Astyanax mexicanus: one gene and its partner. The protein of the gene in region 2 interacts with the protein of the main gene of each other region in a biochemical or structural test. Links are inferred from orthologs where the notes say so. Each region holds a gene or a part of one and is shown on either strand. Other genes may lie near its edges.

What was found. The genes of interacting proteins can lie anywhere in the genome.
Region 1: the proteins of sp1 (region 2) and jun form a complex in vitro, tested with the Homo sapiens proteins (2 studies listed by BioGRID). The link is inferred for Astyanax mexicanus from reciprocal best matches to the Homo sapiens genes SP1 and JUN.

What each region holds. Positions count from the first base shown.
Region 1 is NC_064408.1:62,904,917-62,915,719, reverse strand, and holds jun (transcription factor AP-1), read right to left. Parts: upstream 4,733-10,803; 5' UTR 4,258-4,732; coding exon 3,286-4,257; 3' UTR 2,536-3,285; downstream 1-2,535. UniProt on the Homo sapiens protein: Transcription factor that recognizes and binds to the AP-1 consensus motif 5'-TGA[GC]TCA-3'.
Region 2 is NC_064431.1:15,803,849-15,814,546, reverse strand, and holds the start of sp1 (transcription factor Sp1), read right to left. Parts: upstream 4,518-10,698; 5' UTR 4,418-4,517; coding exon 4,411-4,417; intron 3,647-4,410; coding exon 3,573-3,646; intron 2,139-3,572; coding exon 806-2,138; intron 512-805; coding exon 370-511; intron 1-369. UniProt on the Homo sapiens protein: Transcription factor that can activate or repress transcription in response to physiological and pathological stimuli.

The DNA of each region.
Region 1 (10,803 bases), on a different chromosome or scaffold from region 2:
CATCACAGTGCCATCCATCTGTTAACAAACACCAATCATAAATTCAGTAAAAACAGTTAGCATTGCCAGTTAGCTGTCTGCCATTTTGGGCTTTATAATAACGTCCCAGGGTAGATAGTATAAATGACAAATGACAGAATAACTCACTGTATTGACTTACATATTTTTTTTAACTATTTTATTTTATTTGGACTTTACTAAATATATTTGCCCAAATACGGCCAAATATCAAAATTCAGTTCATATTTACATCTAATTTTTAAGCATTTTAAAAAGCTCTAGTATACTGTAATATGACAGAGAAATATATTTCAGCTTTTAATTTAAGAACACATCTTTGAGTGTAGTAACTTTTTAAACATATTTGATTAGCCTAGAACCTAATAAAAATCTGAAAACATCTGGCATGTGTGACCCTCTGCTTTAAATGTTTTGTAATTTGATAAATGTGATTCATTTATATTTATTCACTCTAGAGCATGCAATTAGATTAGTTTTCAAATCTCTTGACAGCACCAGTAAACATACATGTAATAAATTTACAGTTCTTAATAAATAATAAATAAATAAATAAACAGGAATTGTGCTTTAAAATTTGTGAAAAGAAGTAAGTTTCCTGAAGAGGATTGTTATTATTATTTTTCACATTTAGAAAATCACCAAATACGTCGTTTTAACAGGGGCTTTTTTTCATCAGACTGTATATTTTGGATTTGTACATAAGTATTAGAATAAATCATACTGAACTAACTGGTTTTTACTCAGTGTTTCGTTACGTTCCGTCAGGCGCGTTAGTGGGTTTATAGATATTCAATACTAATCTGAATTCAAATGGACTTGCATTAGAGTTTCATTAATTCTAGATACACTGCAATGACAGTTTCTATTATAAATGTTTTTTTTTTCTATAGCCTATGCTGCGCAAATAACGCAGAACATGTAAACTTGTTGGTGTGTTTTTTAGGCTGCTGTGTGTTGTATATTTGCCAGTCTTTGGTGGACTACATGTGTACATGTTAACTTAGCTGGTGTTGAGTTAAATGTATGGGAGTTGAGCGCGTGTTGTGTGTTTATTTTAATCAGAAAGCTTCTTCTCCCCCCTCTCTCGCGCTCCAGCGCGCGGGGCAGATCAGTCCGAGGAGTTCCACTTCCCGTAAGCCACGCCCACTCCACGGCCTGATGGCGTAGATCTTCCGACCCTTGTGTTTCCTTATATGGTCATGTAGGTGCCGCTTTCCGGCATGATGTCACCCTTTACCAAGTTTGGGCAGAGAAAGACCATTAATGTTGCATGATAAGGACTGAATCAGATTTAACAAAGGAACTAGTGCAGTTCACTGGCTTTCTAATCACAGCTTTTAAAACCCGAACCTTAAAGGCAGCTTTATTTATTGATTTATTTATTTGTTTAAGTATGTTAGAATTGTTTGATATACCTGTTCTGTTCAGGTTAATGTTAATATTAAACGTAAACCACTCTATAGTATTCTAGGATCCTTTAAAGACTGCTTAGGTGAAGGAGACAAAGTACTTTCTTTTACATTAGGACAGGGCAGTGTAGCCTACCTGCCTTCTTCTCCTTCAGCCTAATTGTTCCACATTACAGTTGAACACGTTTTATAAAGTGCTCATGAGTTTACACTGGTGTATTTTACTGAACAGCAGAGGGAGTGTTTACTCCAGGATCAAACTAGACTCCGGCGTGACCTAGCAAAAGAGGGACAACGGCGCCCTCTAGTGGCACATTGTCCCAGGTTTAAAAAAAATGTCGTTTTAAAGAAACTGGTGTGTATGAGGTTGTTCTTGTAGAAGACCTTGTCCAAAGTACATTTTATAGAGTAGAGCTGCAGGATCATCATATACCTACATGTTCAAAGACGAAATGTAATATTGATTATAATAGCAGTAGGCTTTAATCTGATGCAATTCCTGCTCTATTGTTGAAACACATGATAAACAATACTTTTTGATAGTGTAGATGCATTGCTGTTTCATTTGTATACATTATATCGTATTTTGTTTTGTTTATTGTTTGGTCTTTAAACAACTTATTAATCTGTTGTTTATTTCTAATGTATTTATTTGCTATTTGTGACTACCTGCCAAGTTCAAATGAATACCTCAATATTACTGGCTATCTCTGTAGATACAGTTAGCCAATACCTAATGTTAGTGTATATCATATATTAATGTTACACTACACTGTGAATTTATAACTACTATACAACACTTGAGGAACTGAAATAGTGCTGAAGGCTGCATGTCCCACTTTAGTACTCATTTAAATGTTAAATATATATATAGTTATTTTAATTGAAAATGTCTGTGCTACATAGTCTTTACTATAGTAGTGTGTAGTCTGTTTATTCTGTGTGTAACTTTTGTAAAGTTGTAAGGTGGACGTTGTTGGAGCATGGCTACACTAGACAAACCTGAACCTTCAAGACTGTGTGTGTGAAGTGAAGCATTAGTCAATAGTGGCTCTGAATGACATGTTTCAACATGTTTGTTCCATTTACAGACACAACAGACCCATTGTTTTCGTTTGACATCCTTTATTACAGTTCATAAATATTGATTAGTTTCTGATCAGCTCAGAAAACAAACATAAAAAATTACGTAGCACTTTTTATTACAAATGGTAAACTTAAGTACTCCCTGTTGATCTTATTTACAAATAACAATGAGTGAAACCTCATTAAGAAACTTTTTAGAAAAAGAAACTTCGAAAGAAAAGTCGAAAGCTTGACTAACTCAAATAACGTCGATTTGATTCATCTGAAGAACAAAAATGACATTTTGCAACTCAGAAGTCAGGCAGCTCTTATCAAAGGGTCTTTTTTTAACTTTATAGGACGCAACTTCCTGCTGTGGCCCGCCAACATGGGCCGAGCAGAGTCCCTAATGCAGTTCTCTTTTTCTAATACTGAGTGCGCCTGTACGCTTCGGTCCATGCACGACTTGGTCAAAGTGAACAAGGTTGAGTCTCTTTCTTTCGTCATTAGAAAACAACAGTAATAAAAGTAACAGAGTGAGTCTTTCATGCTGTCTGGTGCTGTGGACCCAGCTTGGTGGAGGTCTGGTAAGCTCCACATCTGGACGTCCTTTTGCACGGCACGCGGCCAGACAGGGTCCCCGGGACAGTCCTGGAGCACTTTACGGCTTCACCGGCCCCCCGTCGCCGCAGGCTCTGGTGCACAGCCCCTTTTACACAAGCGTGTCCTTTCAGCCCGTTTGTCCCTTCTTTCCTCGGCGCCCTCTCTGCAGCTCCTTGGAGTTCCCGCTTCAGAAGGTCTGCAGCTGCTGCGTCAACATCAGCTGGCAGCCGCTGTTCACGTGGTTCATGACTTTCTGCTTGAGCTGGGCCACCTGCTCGCGCAGCATGTTGGCCGTAGACGCGAGCTCGGAGTTCTGAGACTTGAGCGTCTTCACCTTGTCCTCCAGGCGTGAGATGCGCTCCAGCTTCCTCTTGCGGCACTTGGACGCGGCGATGCGGTTACGCATGCGCTTGCGCTCGGCCTTGATGCGCTCCTGGCTCTCCATGTCGATGGGCGACAGCGGCGGGGTCTCCCCGGGCATCTCGGGCACCGTCTGCGGCTCCTCCTTGAGTGCCTGTAGCCGCGGGTGCTGGACGGGGAGCGGCTGTGGCGCCTGTTGCTGTTGTGGTGGAGGCGCCAGGGGCTGAGGCGCCGTGGTGGTGTAGCTGACGGCAGGGAAGCCCGGGGCCGCGCTGCTGCTGATGGCAGGGTTAAAGGTGCTCAGGTCCGCGTAGACCGGCGGGTCGGCGCGCGGCGGGGCCGAGCTGTAGGCTGCCGCGGCCGGGGCCGCCGCCATGGAGCTGTTGACCGTGGTGCTGGTCTGAGGGGGCGCCGAGGTCCCGGGCATGTGCTGGTGGTGCAGCTCGGCCAGGGCCCGCACGAAGCCCTCCGCGAAGCCCTCCTGCTCGTCCGTGACATTCTTGGGGCACAGGAACTGGGTGGGCGTGGGCGTGGTGGTGATGAGCCCGTTGCTGGACTGGATGATGAGCCGCTCGAGCTCCGGAGAGGCCAGCTTAAGCAAGCCCACGTCCGGCGACGTGAGGAGGTCGCTGGCCTTGGCCCGCAGGTGCGGCTTGAGCGTGCCGGCCGGGTCGGTGAGGTTGAGCGTCATGCTGTGCTTCAGCACCTTGGCGTTGTATCCGAAAGCGGCGGCGTCGTGCTGCGAAAAGGCTGCGCTCAGCGAGTCGTCGTAGAAAGTAGTTTCCATCTTGGTCGACATAGAAGGAGAAACCAAAACTTTGTCTGAGAGTGGAGGAGCCGTTTCACTCACCAGCGAGCGGTAGAGATCTTCACCACAGCTCTCTCTCACTGTGTGAGGAGTTCAGCTGGAAGTCCGACTCAGAAGCGCTCGCCTCTCTTGGTGAATGAAGTGTTGTCTCTCAGAATAGAAGAGGAGAAGGGCAGGAGCTAGCAGCCGCTTCCCAAACTTCTCGAGCCTCGTCCTCTCTCTCTCTGTCTCTCGTTGTCCCGCGAGAGGAAAAAGTTTGAAAAAAGTTGTAAAAACAGTCGGAACTACGAGGTCTTGCGCCTCTCTCGCGCTGTCAGTCTGTTCACGGGACTACTGTGTGTGTTGTTTCTCTGTTTTAAACTCCTCTCCGCTCTTTCTCTCTCTCTCTCTCTCCGTACCTCCCTCTCCCTGTCCCGTGTGTGCTGTGAGCTCCTCCGCCGCGCTCTCCAACCTTATCTGCCGCCGCTGCCACACTAAAAATAGGGGTCCGATGGTGATGTCATGACCGCGGCCTCTGATTGGCTATGGGCGTCGAGGGGGCCGAGCCGTGGCGCGTTGCCTAGACGACCACCAGAAGATTCTTTCGGCGCGCGGAGGCTCACGGGATGAGGTAATGCTGCGAGTGGACGAGCGCGCGCGCTGCATTGTGGGATTACGTATTGTTTTTGAATATCTGGTTACGCGCTTTAGCTGCTTCAGACTGTGGCGGGACACCAGTGTGTGTGTGTGTGTGTGTGTGTCTATGGGACGGAGCTAGTGTTAGTGTGTGAGGGGAGACCGTGATTTCTGCTCGCTTAAAGATGTTTTAATTACTTTATTATAAGCTCTTTTTATTTGTATGTGTTATTATAGAAGTGAAATATATATATATATATATATATATATATATATATATATATATATATATATATATATATATATATATATATATATATATATATATATATATATGTACAAAATATAACTACAGGCTGATAATGGAACGGGAGAGTCCGGTCTGTGTTCTGTTTTTTAAAGCATAAATAATAAGTGTGGTGACACATAACTCGCCTGGTATTAATAATATAATCGTTAATCATGCCTTAAGGTTTAGAAAGTGTTTTTCTACTTTTCTTTTTTTTTGTTTTGTTCAGGAGATTAATTTCGAAACACGAGCAGTAGTCTGCTTTTGTCGTGGCAGAGTGTGTTTTTACTCACGGTCCCTTCCAGCCAATAGGAGGTGGAGGGGGCGTGGTCTGCAGTGGAGTGACAGCAGGCCACAGAGCAGGTCCAGCTCAGGGAGCCTCTCTAAAGTTCACACAAACAAAAAACGAGAAGCGAGGCTGACGCTTTCACAACAAGCCTGACTAACAAACTCTCGAAATGCAGAGGGACAGAGGAAAGTACAGACATCTGAAACTGTGCTTTAAGGCTGGGGCTGGTGTGTTTATCTGCTCGCGCGAGTCTGACGTGTGGGCTCAGCTGCAGTTGTTTTGGTTTCTGTTATCAGTCTGCGCAGGACCTTCACAGGAAAAGCACCAGAGGAGCTCTGAAGTGAAACTTGTCCCCGGTCTCTGGCACATTTCTGTTTCACTGCTCCACTGAACCCAGAGCTCAACACACACACACCACGTCAGCATGACGTTGCACTCAGGTTTCCTCGTGGCAGTCCTCAGTCGATGTTCACCAAAACCCACTGTTTAGACCTCCTGCTCAGTCCTCACCCTTAATCTGCCCTAAACCCTGTCATTATTTTAGCTTATATGGTTAAACGGCATCAACAGGCAGTTGTTAAAGTTAAGGTTGAGATTTAAAGGTTCTAATTTGTGACTGAATGCAGCAAAATAATATTTTTACTCACTTATTGTGAAATTAACATTCACTATTTTACATTTATTACAATACTTTTCAAAACAGACTATTTTAGATTTAAGATCAACGTGGTACATACACACCAACACATATATACATTATATTTTGTATATCTTTATGTTTCATAATATGACTACAAAGAATATAACACATGTATAACTCTGTTATACCATGTAATACAAAAAGATTATATCCGATTGTAATCTATCTTCCTCTATCCTGCTATTTCCCTTTGGTCTCCTTTTGGCCCTGTATTTTTTACCTACTTCTATGTCTTCTATTACGAAATGAACATCATTATTGTATAAGTCACTTTGGACAAAAGCATCTTCCGAGTGTAATGTAATATATACATTCTCACACATGTAAAGATAAATGTGTATATGAATGAATCTGGTTATTTCATAGCTCTTATATTTGGCACAGTCAATGTGACATATTGACAGTCTGTGTAATATTCTGTCTTGTATTGTGTTTGTTATCACACAAAACACACTTTACTGATCAAGGACCTGATAAAAAAACTTTCTTAACTATAAAACATTTTAGAATGTTTCTGTTGGTTTATTTATCATGGCATTGTAATAAAGTAGATAAATAATGTAAAAATAAAAGTGATTTTATTTAATCAACATTTGCAGTACCAAAGAGTGTGTTTGGTTTACTATTTTGTCTTTTCAGATATTTGTATTTCTATTTCTATTTGTTCAGTGATGCTGTGCAGCACGACTGACTTGTGGTATTTTGCATTTAAACAATAAATGTAGGTCAATCCAAAATCTATTGCCCAGCCCCTTTTTCCTAATGGCCTTATGCTGAAACAAATCTACTGTACAAAACAAAGTGTATTAGCAAGAAGAGGTTCAGAAATCTGAAACACAGCCATGCTGCTCATACATAATCCTTATTCTGATCCGCAATCGAAAGCCTTGGGCAAGTTGTTAATCATTTCTGTTTCAGCGTTGGATCTAGGCTGAAGTGTGTTGGGGGGAATCACTGCTGAATGGAAAATTCGGTGCGCACTAATGCTAGATGTACAGATTAGCAGAGATAAAGAGAGAAGAAGGAAGTCCTATAAGATTTTTGGTTGAAATAGAAAGAAAGAAAATGAAAGCTCTGTGGCCTGCTGGGGGCTGTTGGCAGACTAGCAGCTGCCAATCAAAGGATTATCGTCATTATGTTTAGCTGAGGTTCATATTGCTGTGGATCCTGCCCTTAGGTTTGGGACCCTCATGTAAAAGTAAAGCTTTTTCCAAAACATGCCTGTATCTGACTGCCTTTGATTGCTTGTTGATGAAGATTAGAACGAAAGTAGGCTTTTAAATCCACTCGTTTGTGGCTTTGTGGTTGACTGGGCTTGTCGGGACAACTTTTGAAGAAGCTCTGTGTGTGTGTTTGTGTGTGTCTGTGTGTACTCTTGAGATTTAAATTGTTGCTATGCTTATTTAAGGTATCATAGTTGCTGTAAATAAGTATGATTAACAATACATCCAGACTGGTAATGTTTAATGTGTCATACACATTTATTAGCAGCTTATTTTGTTCTACTGTCCGTTTCAGATGCATTTCCATTGGCCCTGCGCTTGTCTAAAGGTCAGATGAGTTTTATGGGCATGTGAATCTGTGAGACAAAGGTCAAGTGCTAGAGCAGTATCCTCTTATCCTGCATCCTCTTTCAGCACAGCACAATGCTTTCCCTAGGACAGAAACTGGAATGCCCAGTACTAGTTCAACATGGAAACTGAGACTTCTCTGTTTTGAAGTAGCTCTTGTTTTTTTTTTTTTTTTGGCCTTGTCCAGCACAGTCCAGAAATTGTAAAATGGGCTTAACAGTGAGGAACAGCTTCCCAGCATGCCTTTTCCCTGTTTCCATGTTACTTTAGTTTTTTTCTTTTTGTTTTACTGGTTATGTTTGATTGTGTGAGAACAAGATTTATTTCAGACATTTTAGTTTAAATGTAAATAGTTTTAATGAAAAGTAATTTAATAATTTTTGAATTTAATATAAACAATTATATCATATTTAGTAAAAATGACTACAATATATAAGCAAACATTTAAAGAGTAGCACACAAGCAATTTTCATTTATTTGTAAGTACATTTATTGTGTTCATGACAGGCATACCGATTATAACATTCGAAAGATGTTCTGTGATACAGAAAAATTACGTTTGTGACTTTGTGGTTTTAAAATCCTATTTACCACCCAGTAAATAAAATGACAAGCTCTGTTTCTATTTGCTGGTTAACGATGCAGTGTAAATTAAGTATTTTATTCTAAGGCATCTTTAATACCCGTATTTCCTTAAATAACAAAACTTAAAATAGATTTTCACAGGCAAACCTGTATTGATGCAGTCTAAGCTCAGTTATCTGAAACATGGGTGAGTGAAACATAAACATGCGTCAGGTGGACATGTTTAAATTGACAATAAACAAAATGACTGCTATATATAGATGGGTTTGTGAAGGGAATTCTTGGTCTTCAGTCTAGCAGGACAGAGTGTAAATGTGTCATGTTTATGTTGTCAGTAGTTATATGTCTCTATGTCTGTGCCACCCTGGTTGGTCTGGACCTTAAAATATACCCACTCCTTAGCTTTTCTACTTACACCCATGGAAAAAGTCATTATTTATACATTTGTGTGTACTGTATACTATAACGTTTAATAGGGCTGTAGTGCTAATATCAGGTATCCATAGCTGCGGCACGTGTGTTTGCTTTGACATACGGCCTGCCATTAGCTAAGGGGGACTCTGTATTTGGAGATCCATCTCACTGGTGGTCCCCACGTCTGTGAGGAGGGCCTAGTATAAATGTGGTTCATCAACTTCCCTTAAAGACAGTGCCAGAGCAATTAACATTTACTTCATGCTGAAGCTGTGAAAAACGAACACACAGAAACAGATTCAAGTTAGCATTAAAACGCATGCAGTTTTCAGGATTATTCGTATTTTTAAAGCTAAATAAGTATTCATGTTAAAGAGGCACCCTTTTTATGGAGTGAATTCTGCTACTGTAAGGTGCATCCATTGCTGACACAGGTGTTCAACTGAACAAACACAGCTTGTATAGTCTTCATAGAAAAGCATTGCCAGTAGAATTGGAAGCTGTAGAACAACCTCACTTGAGCCTATAAGGTTACCATGGGCAATGCCAATCTGCAACCAGAGAATATTAAGTCTTCCAGCATTGAGCTGTGGTGCAGTGGAACTGTGCTCTCTAAAGTGATGTAGATTCATCCAGTACTTGTGGATGGAGTGTTGGTGAAACATTTGAGATCCAGATCTAATCATTCAACATCAGATCCTGACCTTACTTGTGCTTCTGTGATTGAATGATTATTACAGTAAGGCTCTAATATCAATGTAAAGCCTTTCTATAACAATAGAGACCACTACTGCAGCAAAAAGAGATTAAAATGAATTAACATTAATACTGGGTCAAATTACTTTAACATATAGAAGAACACAGATCAGTGTTAACCTCTAATTAAAAGTATGTTTTTATGTACTTATGTTTTACAGTTTTGTTTGATGTGGGGGTGATTTTTTTGCCAGTGCTACTTGGCACTGGTAAATGTTTCTTTTAAATTGTTAAAGAATTTTTTTTCATTATATTTGCATTATAAGTTTTTATTTTTTAAATTTTCTTGAAAAATTTAAGCCATTTAAACATGTCCAGGAATTCCCTGTTTACCCTGTCATCTTGAGTAACCGCCCCTTTAAGAAAGTGACATCACTGACATCACAACCATCACAACCCTGTTTTCAAGGCACTTGCAGCATGTTCAGCAGTTACTAATATTTCACTTTTATAGCACTTTATATTTATCATATTGGCTCCATATTTGCTTGAGGTAAAGTATAATCTGTCAAAAATGCCAGTTTTCACCATAATAGTCCACCATAATGGAACAACTTTTTTGTACTTATTATATTTTAATTAAAATAGTACAAAAGTCATACTTAAATTGTACATTTTAGTACAGTAAGTGTACTTAACTGTACTAAAATGGAACTATTCTAAATATAAGTAACATTATAAATAGTATGGTTAAATGTTATAAGTAACGGCTTCATGTATGTAACCCCATGTTTTAAATATGTTTACAGTAAAACTGTAATACATTTTTACAGTTTTACAACTGTATCACTATTATACACCAGGTATATAAGAATTGAGGTTAAATATATTTACATTAGAGTAAAAATATGCTTCTTGTTTCTGTCTTTTGTAAATAGCACACTTCTAGTGTACTTCGTTGGGTATAAAAAATATATATTTCCTAAAATGGTCTACATATTTACTTTATTTATTTTTTTTAAATGTAGTAATTTAATTTACTTTCTAAAAAGTTACATGATACATTGTACTTTAAGTGAACTACTGTAACAGCTGTTTTTAACACACTTTGCTAAAAATGTACAAAAGTATATTTGGAAATAAGTATTTTAGAAGTATATTGAATTACATAAAACTAAAAGTGTACTTCATAGCAGTAATACACTAAATTGTACTTTTTTAAAAAGTATAATTCAAGTTTACTTTCAAACATTTGATGAAGCATAATTTTAATGTACTTTTAATACATTTTAAGTAAGTACATACATCTGTTAGTATATTAACAGCATACTTAGATATTTCTCAATATGTTTTAAGTACAATTAAGTATATATGTTTT
Region 2 (10,698 bases):
GAGCGAGAAAGAGAGACAGATGGCGCAAGAGACAGAGAGCGCAATGTGCTTAACAATTTGGAGGAACAAATTTAGAGGAAAATGAAGCAGGACGAAAGTAGAGGATGACTTGATAGTTAGCTTGCCACAAATCAGCATTGATAAACAGGGTGAGCGGCCACATAAACACTTAACAGACAAATATGTGACGTCATGAGGGAAATGCGAGATCAAACAACATGTACTACAAGTGTACTAGGAAGTCAAATGTGTACCCTTTACACAAAACGCATTGAGAACAGATACAGCTTTTACAATTTACCGAGGCATCGGTAAATGTGAGTAGGCGAGTGAGTGAGCAATGAGTGAGTATTGTGGGTAAAGGCATACCGGCCCTCTCCGTCTTTGCAGTAGGGGCAGGTGCAGGCCTCCCTGCGGGTGCGGCGGCTGGGCTGCGTTGGGCTTGTGTCCAAACTCTGATCCAAAACTGTACAGTCGTCCAGACTCTCCCCGCCAGCTCCCCCTTGATCACCTGAACACACAGTACAATACAAGGACAATATATTTTTGTTTTTACATTTCTAAGAAAACAAAATCTAATTTGGATTAATTTAATTTGTAGTTCAGTTTAAAAATCCATCCCCACAATCTGAGAATCATTTATACAACATTGCAGCCAAAAGGCTTTCCCTACTGTTTCTTTTAATACTTTCTGCTTTAATAAATCAGTTCCTTTTTCCCATTTTCTCCCGATTAATTTCAGCTGCTAAATATTTTGTACATCCCTTATCATTCCAACCCACAACCCTGCAACAGTAATACTGACCTGCATTGTTGGCCACAGCGATGGGAACCCCTTGTATTTGGTGCATCTGCAGCCCAGCACTGGCCAGGTTGATGGTCTGCAGGCCAGGCAGCTGCATCGTGGTGGCGGTGGTTCCAGTCTGTGTCAGCTGTGGGAGCGAATGCACCGGCGCCAGTGTGATCTGAGCTCCGGCAGGACTCTGCAGCTGGACCGTCTGCCAGCTGACCTGCCCGTTCGGCCCGACGGTGCGCAGCAGGATGGAGCTGTTGTTTGGGATCATCTGCAGATTCTGGAGCCCATCTTGAGACAGCGTCTGTGTGGCAAAGACCTGCCCGCTGGCAGGCTGGATGGCTTGGAGAGTGGATGTTCCTTGGAAGAGCTGCTGGGGCTGAATGAGGATCTGCTGTTGGGTTTGTTGTTGTTGTTGTTGTTGCTGCTGCTGTTGTTGTTGTTTTCCATCTCTGTTGTCTGACTGTATGGCCTGGATGGGAATTGTGCCAACTGTGGTCTGGAAGGTGTTGCCCGTCAGAGTGTTAGCACGAGAAACCCCGCCGCTGCATGACATCACGGCTTGTGTAGTGGACGTGGTTGCGCTGGTGTGATATTCAGTGGCTGTTGAGACGATTGCCTGTTGGACAACCTGCTGACCAACACCTGAAGTTCCATCATCAGCTTTAGCACCAGCAGCCTGGCCAGCACTGACAGGAAGTAACGTTATGCCACCGTTGAGCGACATGGGCACGTTAGCCAAAAACTGTGTCTGACTGGGCAGAACAGTGTTGCCCAGTGCCAGGTTCTGAAGAGGAATGGCCTGCTGAAGAAGACCTGGCACAGTCAGGATGTTGCCAGCTCCAGTATTCTGGCCGGCCGACGTTGCGATGAGCTGCTGCCCACCATTGGGCGAAGACACGAGCTGAAGCTGCCCTGTTCCTGCAGCAGAAGCATCCTGGGTAGTCTGGGCAAACTGCAGCTGTTGCCCGTCCACTGTCTGGAACTGTGGAATGACCTGATACTGGATGTTGGGCATCACACCAGAGATGGTGGTCAGCAGCTGCTGGCCTTGTATGCTGGGTGCTGATGCCACTATATACTGCTGCTGCTGTTGCTGCTGGACACCGGAGGTCACGATAGTTTGGTTTTTATCCTGAACGATCTTCTGAGAGACGTTATTCCCGGAGGCAGTGGTCGTCTGTACACCTTGAGAAACTATCTGCCAGCCGTTGGTGGCGTGAGATACCTGGGTGTGGGTTAAATCATTCCGATGGACCTGAAGCTGCTGTTCAGCTGCGTCGTTCTCGTCTATCCGACTGCAAGTCGCCGCCAACAGGGCTAAAGGTGATGGCGGCTGGGCATCCTGTGGGAAGGAGAACCTCAGAATAACTTGATGCATCACATTTTTGATTTAGTAAAATGCAGTGTGGGATAATGTATGATTACACGGAATGTAACGATTAACGATGTAACGAAATATTGATAAATTGTGTTATCACAAAGCAACATAAAATTACGTAAAGTCCTCCAACACTTATTTTAGCTGTTTAGCATTTCCCAACACTGGTCCTAGGACCATTGCACTAAGCAAGTGGTACTTTTTTAGTAAAAAAACAGACCTTCTTAAAGGTTTTGTAAGACAAACAGATAAAGAGCTGTTTGTGTGGGTCAGGTTTTAAGAATTTCTATGTAACTAGTTTACAACATGACATCAAATTTTATTCCAGTAACTTTACATAATTTTTTCCAATGAAGGTGTAAACTGTATTCAAGGTGTAGCGAAATAATTAAAAAAAAATTATATATATACAAATTGTTCTTATTACAGTGCAACAGTGCAGAAGTAAATAAAGCTGTTATTGCTGATTAAGGAATTAGTAATTTCAGTGTTTAGCACTGAGTGTTTGTGTTTACATCATGTACAGCATGTGCCATATAATTGTCCCATATCTTAATCTCCAAATTTGAATTCCTTGGAGTTCCTTCCTTACATGACCGACCAAATACAACGAAACTTCTTCACTTGAAATTAAACAGAGAGTGCAGAGATTTTGGTACATAATAAATAGCTGGTTTAAGACTAATAATAAAAAACAACAACACTTGTCTCAACATATAGCCTTTAAATAACTGAAGAAAATTTTGTATTGGTGGTATAATGGAAAGAACTTGGTGGGGATATAAGCAAGGCGATATATTGCCACTGTTTAAACCAAAATCAATATTGTACAACAAAAAACTATATTCTTAAAATATGAGCGATTCTCAATTATGATTTTTAGTTCTTGTAGATAACTTCAAAATCACATTTATAACATTTATATAATACATAAGATTTCTTAATTCTTTTAAAGTAATAGTAAGCAGCCACCTTCAACCTTACATACAACTTTAATATTAAACATAATACATTTTAAATGTTGTCAACATAATACTAACAATTATTTAAATTTAAATATCCATTAATAAACTCCCAAGAAATATGTGCACTGTTTGATATATGCACTAAAGTAAATAAAAAATGCCTTAAATATGTATTTCCATAAATATATAGAGAAACCAATTACTTAAAAAAACTTAGCTTTAAGAAAACGAGGCTTGCAACGACACACGACTTTTACAACTGCATGTGTTATTTCATCCTGTTGTCTTCAGTATTAATCTACAATGTAGAAAATACTAAAGAATAAAGAATAAAGAAAAAATAAACTAAACGAAAAGGTGTGTGGTCAAACTTTTGCCTAGTACTGTATAACAGCTATAGCTATATCAAATATTTAACAGTTGTATTACTGACCTGGTCTGTTTTGGTGTTTCGCTTTTTACGGAAGTCTCCGTCGCCTTCTCCCATCGCAGCCATTTCATTTCGCTCTGTAGACAAGAAAATATATTTTTAAATCACTTGTATGGTTTACAACTGAGTTATTACTAGTCTTTAATAATTATTATTTAGCTTAAAGAGCAAATAAGACGTTAAACCACTTTTAAGTTGACTTGCTTTTGCAATAGTCCGTTCCACCTTAAAGAGTGCAGCAGTTCCATGGAACTGCTGCACTCTTTAAGGTGGAACGGACAATTCCAAAAAACAAGCAATTTTAAAACAGGCAAATGAAAGTTTTAACGACAAAACACTTGTAAATGAAGTAAAAACACAACAGATTAAATATTAAATAAAGCGATTTACCACCCAAAAAGCTAGTTATCTAACCGCTAGCTACCTTAATAAAGCCATTATGAAAGTTTTTTAGTACAAAAAAACTTAAGGTTCCTTAGCAGGTTAGCTCGCTAGCTAAGCTAGCTAGGTTAGCTAAACTAGCGGTAGCTACAGTAGCGAAGTCTCTGTTAGACACTTTAACTACCCACTCAGTTATTAATTATCCAGTTCTACACATCTAATTCGCATTATAACAGCCTCCGTTTACACTTATCAACTTTTAACCTACTTCAAACCGGTTTCTTCGTACTTTAACTCGCCAACTACAAATCTTCAGAAATCATTTCAGACACTTACAGTCACTGCAGACTAAACCTACCCCACAAAACCGCCCCGAAAAGTGCTTATTATCACGCCTACCTCACCTTAACTCGACTAACTCGTTAAAAACCCGCTTTTAAACCGAATTAACTCAACTTACCGCTCATTTTTTAACACGCAGGAGTTTCTTTTTGGACACACATCAACTTACAAACAACTCAACCGAACTCGCTGCCTGCCTGGAAATGATAGACAGGCGTGGCGAAGGCGGACAGCCAATCAAAACGCCCTCCGGTTTTATCCGAGCCAATCAGAACTGTGCCACCGCCCATGTAGGCCACACCTGAAGCGTTTTCTCGGTTATTATTTGTGTTATTATTATTTTATATAAATTAATACAGATTAATATCTAGTGTTAAAGTAAGCTAGGTTTATAATTAGCAGTAAAGTGTATTAAAACGTGGGATGACGTGGTTGGAAGTAGTAAGCGTATCCAAAAAAGGCGGGAGAACCGTGGCTTAGATTTGATTGGTTCCTCTCGTAGGAAGACTCCGCCCTGTTTGAGAAGTCTTGAGAGATTTTAACCAATCAGAACACAGAGAGCAGGTTATAGGAGCCCGCCTCTTCTCCGTAGCAGCCCTCTGTTACACCTACATGTATGTAGGTTACCCCGCCACCTGGTGGCCGTAAAAAAGGAAGAACCTGCTTTAAATGTTCATGTTTTAGTTTAGTTTTAATGTAATTTAAACTAAGAAAACTAATAAAATATCTACAACTAACTGAAATTGAAATTTTATAACATTTTTATTTTATTATTAGTCATATTATGATTAATAAATATTGATTTGAGTATCAATTTTGCTCAGAATCCAACCAGATAAGCACAGGTTTAGGGCAGGACTGCACAATATAATGTTTAATACTGTCTTTGCAAACTGCAATATAATTTATTTTACTCCAGTTTTACTATATGCACAAAGAGAAAATTAGATTTTGTGTATCTGTCAATACCAATCCCGATCTGATACTCTGGCAATGCAGTAAAAAAAAAAAAAAAAAAAAAAACACATCCAAGTTGTTATTTTTAAATAACCAATTTTTTAAAATCAAAATATACCACTTCATATCACATTTTAAAAGTATTATATTGTACTAGTCTATGCTTTTAAAGAATAATAATTACATACTATAAGACACATTACTATATTTACTTGAAAACATTAAAATCACCAGTGAAAATATCAAACTGTGCACGCATGTGTAAATCATGTGGCCTACCAAACATTCATAAGCTTTTAATAATGGATTATTTAAATGTAAAAAAAAAGAGTCATTGTTAGATTGGCGAATTTTAATTATATTTATATTAGTGGTGTCAGTGACATAAAAATGTACTGTATTAATCACCACAATATTAAAACCATGATATATATATATATATATATATATATATATATATATATATATATATATATATGTATATATATATTTTTTTTTAATGTCATTATTTCGCCCACCCATAGCAATATGATGCATAAGAGACTCCAAGTGGTCCAGAAGAATAAAGTGCTGCCACGAATCCCAGTCATGCACCTCGCTATCAGTCCGAGAGAGAGCACAATTGGTCTTGCTCTCTCTAGGTGTGTAGATGGCGCTTTTTTCCCACATCACTCCAAAGGGTGATATCAGTCAGCACAGGCATCTGTTGGCTCATGTATCAGAGCCGAGTCACTGTGCTTTCTTGTGACCGTGCTCGCTACTCGCTAATGCTGCATTTCCAAGAGGTGGTAGCTGGCTTTACATGTGTCAGAGGAGGCATTGCTAGCCATACCTGTCAAGTCTCCCGTTTTGGCCGGGAAACTACCGTATTTTACTCCTCTTTCCCGCCGTCCTCCCGTATTAGTATTTTCCCGTAAATTTCCCGTATTATACTAAATAAAAAAATATATATTATTGAGGAGACAGGGCACTGACCGCTCTCTTAACCAATCGTGGAGCCGATTCAAGGAGAAAGTCCCGCCTTTCAGGAGAAACAGCCAATCAGCTTACAAAGGAGGGTCAGTGTGGGAAAGCCCCCCGTCGCTGTGAGTTCAGGCAGCTAGTTAGAGCTGCTGATGTTAAAACATACATGGATATACAGCGATTTTTCTAAAAGAAAGGTAACGGTAGGCTAATCATGTAAACTGTGATGAGATTTTTCTGATAGCTGCTTAAAAATACAGCTTGTGACTTTAGAAAAAAATACAGCTTGTGACTCTAGAACTAGAAATGTGGAGAGGACCGAAATTAACTGAACTGATCAGGGGTGGAGTGATCAAAAGAAAGAAGTATTAATTAAAAATTATTGTGTAGGCCCCTTAGGACTAATTTTTACTGATGGAACATATCTGGTCCATGTCCTTTTAGTAAAAGCTCATGATACTATTTTTAGTTCACCTACAGTCATTTTGCAGAATTTGTGCACCCTTTGTTCAATTTTAAATCCATTAAATAAATAAAAAATATATCATATAAAAGAGTGCATTTATTACAAAAAGACATGAAATCTTATATATTTTTTTAAATATATAGAAAAGGGTATTTAATTTGGCTGTATTAAAAGAATGACATATGTAGGAATGTCCACAACATTTCAGATTCTGATAATCTAATTGTAGTGTGTAAGTGGTTCACTTGTGGTTATTTTAGATTTTTTGTAAACCCGTCTTAAAATGTAAGGGATACTGAACCTTCGTTGGGCTGGTGGGACGGCTTTAGGAGTACAGAGGAAAATATCCCTTATTCTTAAATCTAAAACTTGACAGGTATGTTGCTAGCATACCTGTCAAGTCTCCCGTTTTGGCCGGGAAACCCCTACGGTGGCCGAGAAAGCCCAACGCAGTGCAAATTGAAAAGCGCTGCAAAAGCACAAAACACATCCATCAAAATTACAACACAGGCGCAGCAAATAGAAAAACGCGCTGCAAAAAGAAAAACGCGCTGCAAATAGAAAAACGCGCTGCAAATAGAACCACAACACAACGGAAGTGAGTCACAACGGAATTTTCCCGGGGGACCTTAAAAGATGCTGTACCAGCTGTATACAAAGGACAATAAGTGGCAAACAAGCTTCTGAAAAGTAAGTTATGTTTATTACCTGTGATTACCACGGTTGTGTGCATATTATTAAAAGTTCTGCTTCACAAAACGCCTTGTTTGCCACGTATTGTCCTTTGTACACATATTGAAGTCCGAGACGTTACTGAAGACGCAGCTTAGCTGGTACAGTATCTTTTAAGGTCCCCCGGGAAAATTCCGTTGTGTTGTGACTCACTTCCGTTGTGTTGTGGTTCTATTTGCAGCGCGTTTTTCTATTTGCAGCGCGTTTTTCTTTTTGCAGCGCGTTTTTCTATTTGCTGCGCCTGTGTTGTAATTTTGATGGATGTGTTTTGTGCTTTTGCAGCGCTTTTCAATTTGCACTGCGTTGGGCTTTCTCAGCCACCGTAGATCTGGATATACAGCGATTTTTCTTAAAGAAAGGGAACGGTAGGCTAATCATGGAAACTGTGATGAGATTTTTCTGATAGCTGCTTAAAAATACTCGTCTCCGAAATAAAACACACAGATTAAACCTTTTAAAATAAACAAATTTACAACTTGTGACTCAGTTTAACTAGAAATGTGGAGAGGACCGAAATTAACTGAACTGATCAGGGGTGGAGTGATCAAAAGGAAGAAGTATTAATTAAAAATTATTGTGTAGGCCCCTTAGGACAAATTTTTACTGATGAAACATATCTGGTCCATGTCCTTTTAGTAAAAGCTCATGATACTATGTTTAGGTCACCAACAGTCATTTTGCAGAATTTGTGCACCCTTTGTTCAATTTTAAATCCATTAAATAAATAAAAAATATATCATATAAAAGAGTGCATTTATTACAAAAAAGACATGAAATCTTAATTTTTTAAAAAAAGAAAAGGATTTTTAATTTGGCTGTATTAAAAGAATGACATATGTAGGAATGTCCACAACATTTCAGATTCTTATAATCTAATTGTAGTGTGTAAGTGGTTCACTTGTGGTTATTTTATATTTCTTGTAAACCTGTTTTAAAATGTGAGGGATACTGAACCTTCGTTGGGCTGGTGGGACGGCTTTAAGCGTACAGAGGAAAATATCCCTTATTTTTAAATCTAAAACTTGACAGGTATGTGCTAGTAATCGAGTGAGTGCAACTGAGTGGGTGGAATAATCGGCATAGTTAAAAATAAAAATATAATATATAAATATAATAATATAAAAAATAATAATATAATAAAATAGTATAAAAAATATAGTAAAAAAAAAACAAAAACAAATCAAATGTATAGTTTCCACCTGATTCTGATCCTTTGAAAAATACCCGATCTGACCCCGATTTTCAATCCTGTTGCACTGTATTTTTTACCTCTATTTTTTTTTAAATCTCAATATATATTACAGATCAACAAATTATAGTGCAGTGTAAGTTTTCCCCAAAATCATGGGTGAGGCCATGAATATTAATTCACCGATTGACGTACACATGTGCTTTTACTGATCGACTAGTTTTTCTGAGGCTTTTCTTTTACCAGCTACTGTAGACAATAGAGGTTCAGGAAGAGTTTCATGTGCAGCATCATGTACAACTCAAAGAGACTTATTCTATTTCACAAAGAACAAGAAAAAGTGGATTTTATTGGAAGGAGACCTTTAAAATATGCTCGGGACTGAAGCCCCTAAAGTCCATGCCAGGTGCTGCCCCTGGGTGTAGATCACTAATCTTAGGTTTAGATTTAAGTTTAATGTTTGATTTTTGCAGGGATGGACGGAATTATGGCAAAAGAGAGCTTTAAGGGCTAAAAGGGTTTGATTAAAGTTGAATCTTCACTGTTTGTTCAGCTGTTGGAGTGAGGAACAGCAAAATACTGTAAAGCTGGTGTTCAGAGAGCGTTTGCTTGCTAGATTTGCCAGTTCGTTAAGTCAGCCACATGGGTAGAGAATGTCGGCCCCGTCCCAAATTACAAATATTCCCTACCACTAGAGCATTTCTAAAAAATGAACAAACATTTCTACAGTTATTGAATGTTAAATAAGGAGTTATTTATTCTAAAGTATTTCAGAATACAACTGAATTTAGATCAGATGTATAATGGCTTGTACATGTATTCATACCTCTTGAAGTGTTTTACATTTTGTCACATTACAACCACAAACTTAAATGTAGTTTATTGATATTTTAAGTGATAGACCATCAAAGTAGCACATAATTGTGAAGTGAAAAGATACAAGTTTTTTAAAATTTGAATCAAACAAAAATCTGAAAAGTCTTCAGCCCCCTATCACTACTTAGTAGAGACACCTTTCACTGCAGTTACAGCTGCAGATCTTTTGGGGTATGTCTCTACCAGATTTTTGCCTGTTCTTCTTTGCAAAATTGGCACGTTCTTTCATGTTTGCTGTGTCCTCTACACTTCTTATGTCTTTCTTTTAACAATCTTTTTGCGGCTTTCAACAATGCAGATTTCTGCAGCTCCTCCAGAGTGACCATGGGCCTCTTGACTGCTTCTCTGACCTTGCTCGATCTGTCAGTTTGGGTGAATGGCCATGTCTCAGTAGGTTTGCAGTTGTAAAATACTATTTCCATTTTTGGATGATGGATTAAACAGTGCTGCTTGGGATGCTCAAAGCTTGGGATATGTTTTTACAACCTAACCCTGCTTTAAACTTCTCCACAACTTTATCTCTGACCTGTCTGGTGAGATCCTTGGTTTTCATGATGCTGTTTGTTCAGTAGTGTTCTCTTACAAACTACTGAGGCCTTCATAAAAGAGGTGTATTTTATACTGGTACTAAATCACCAATCCTTTGGACTCTATTAACGAATTAAACAACTTCTAAAGGCAGTTGTATTTGGGTTTTATTTAGGGGGTTCAGTGTAAATAAGGCTGATTACTTTTGCACACGTTTTTATTTTATTTGTTTAAAAGTTTTAAAACCATGTATTGTTTTCACCCGACTTCACTATACTTCATTATGTGCTACTTTGTGTTGGTTTATCACCTAAAATCTCAACAACATACATTTAAGTTTGTGGTTGTAATGTGACAAAATGTGAAAAAATATGAACACTTTTGCATGCCACTGTATTGTGCACTATACTCGGGTGAAGGCACGTCATAGGGCGGAGGATGTCATTTGAGATGGTGCTCAAACAATGCTGTGGCCCATTGATGTTAAATACAAAAAAAAAAAAATCGCAGAGTTTCATTCAGGAGATTAAATGTAAGATGTGGATAAAAAGGCTATAAATATCTGTCTAAAACCAATATAAAATGTTTTATTTATTTATAGCAGACAATTGAAAAAAACAACAACAAACAAATCCATTAAAAATGAATCTTGTTATAGTGTATAACATTTATCATAGTTCTGCAGAAATGCAGTT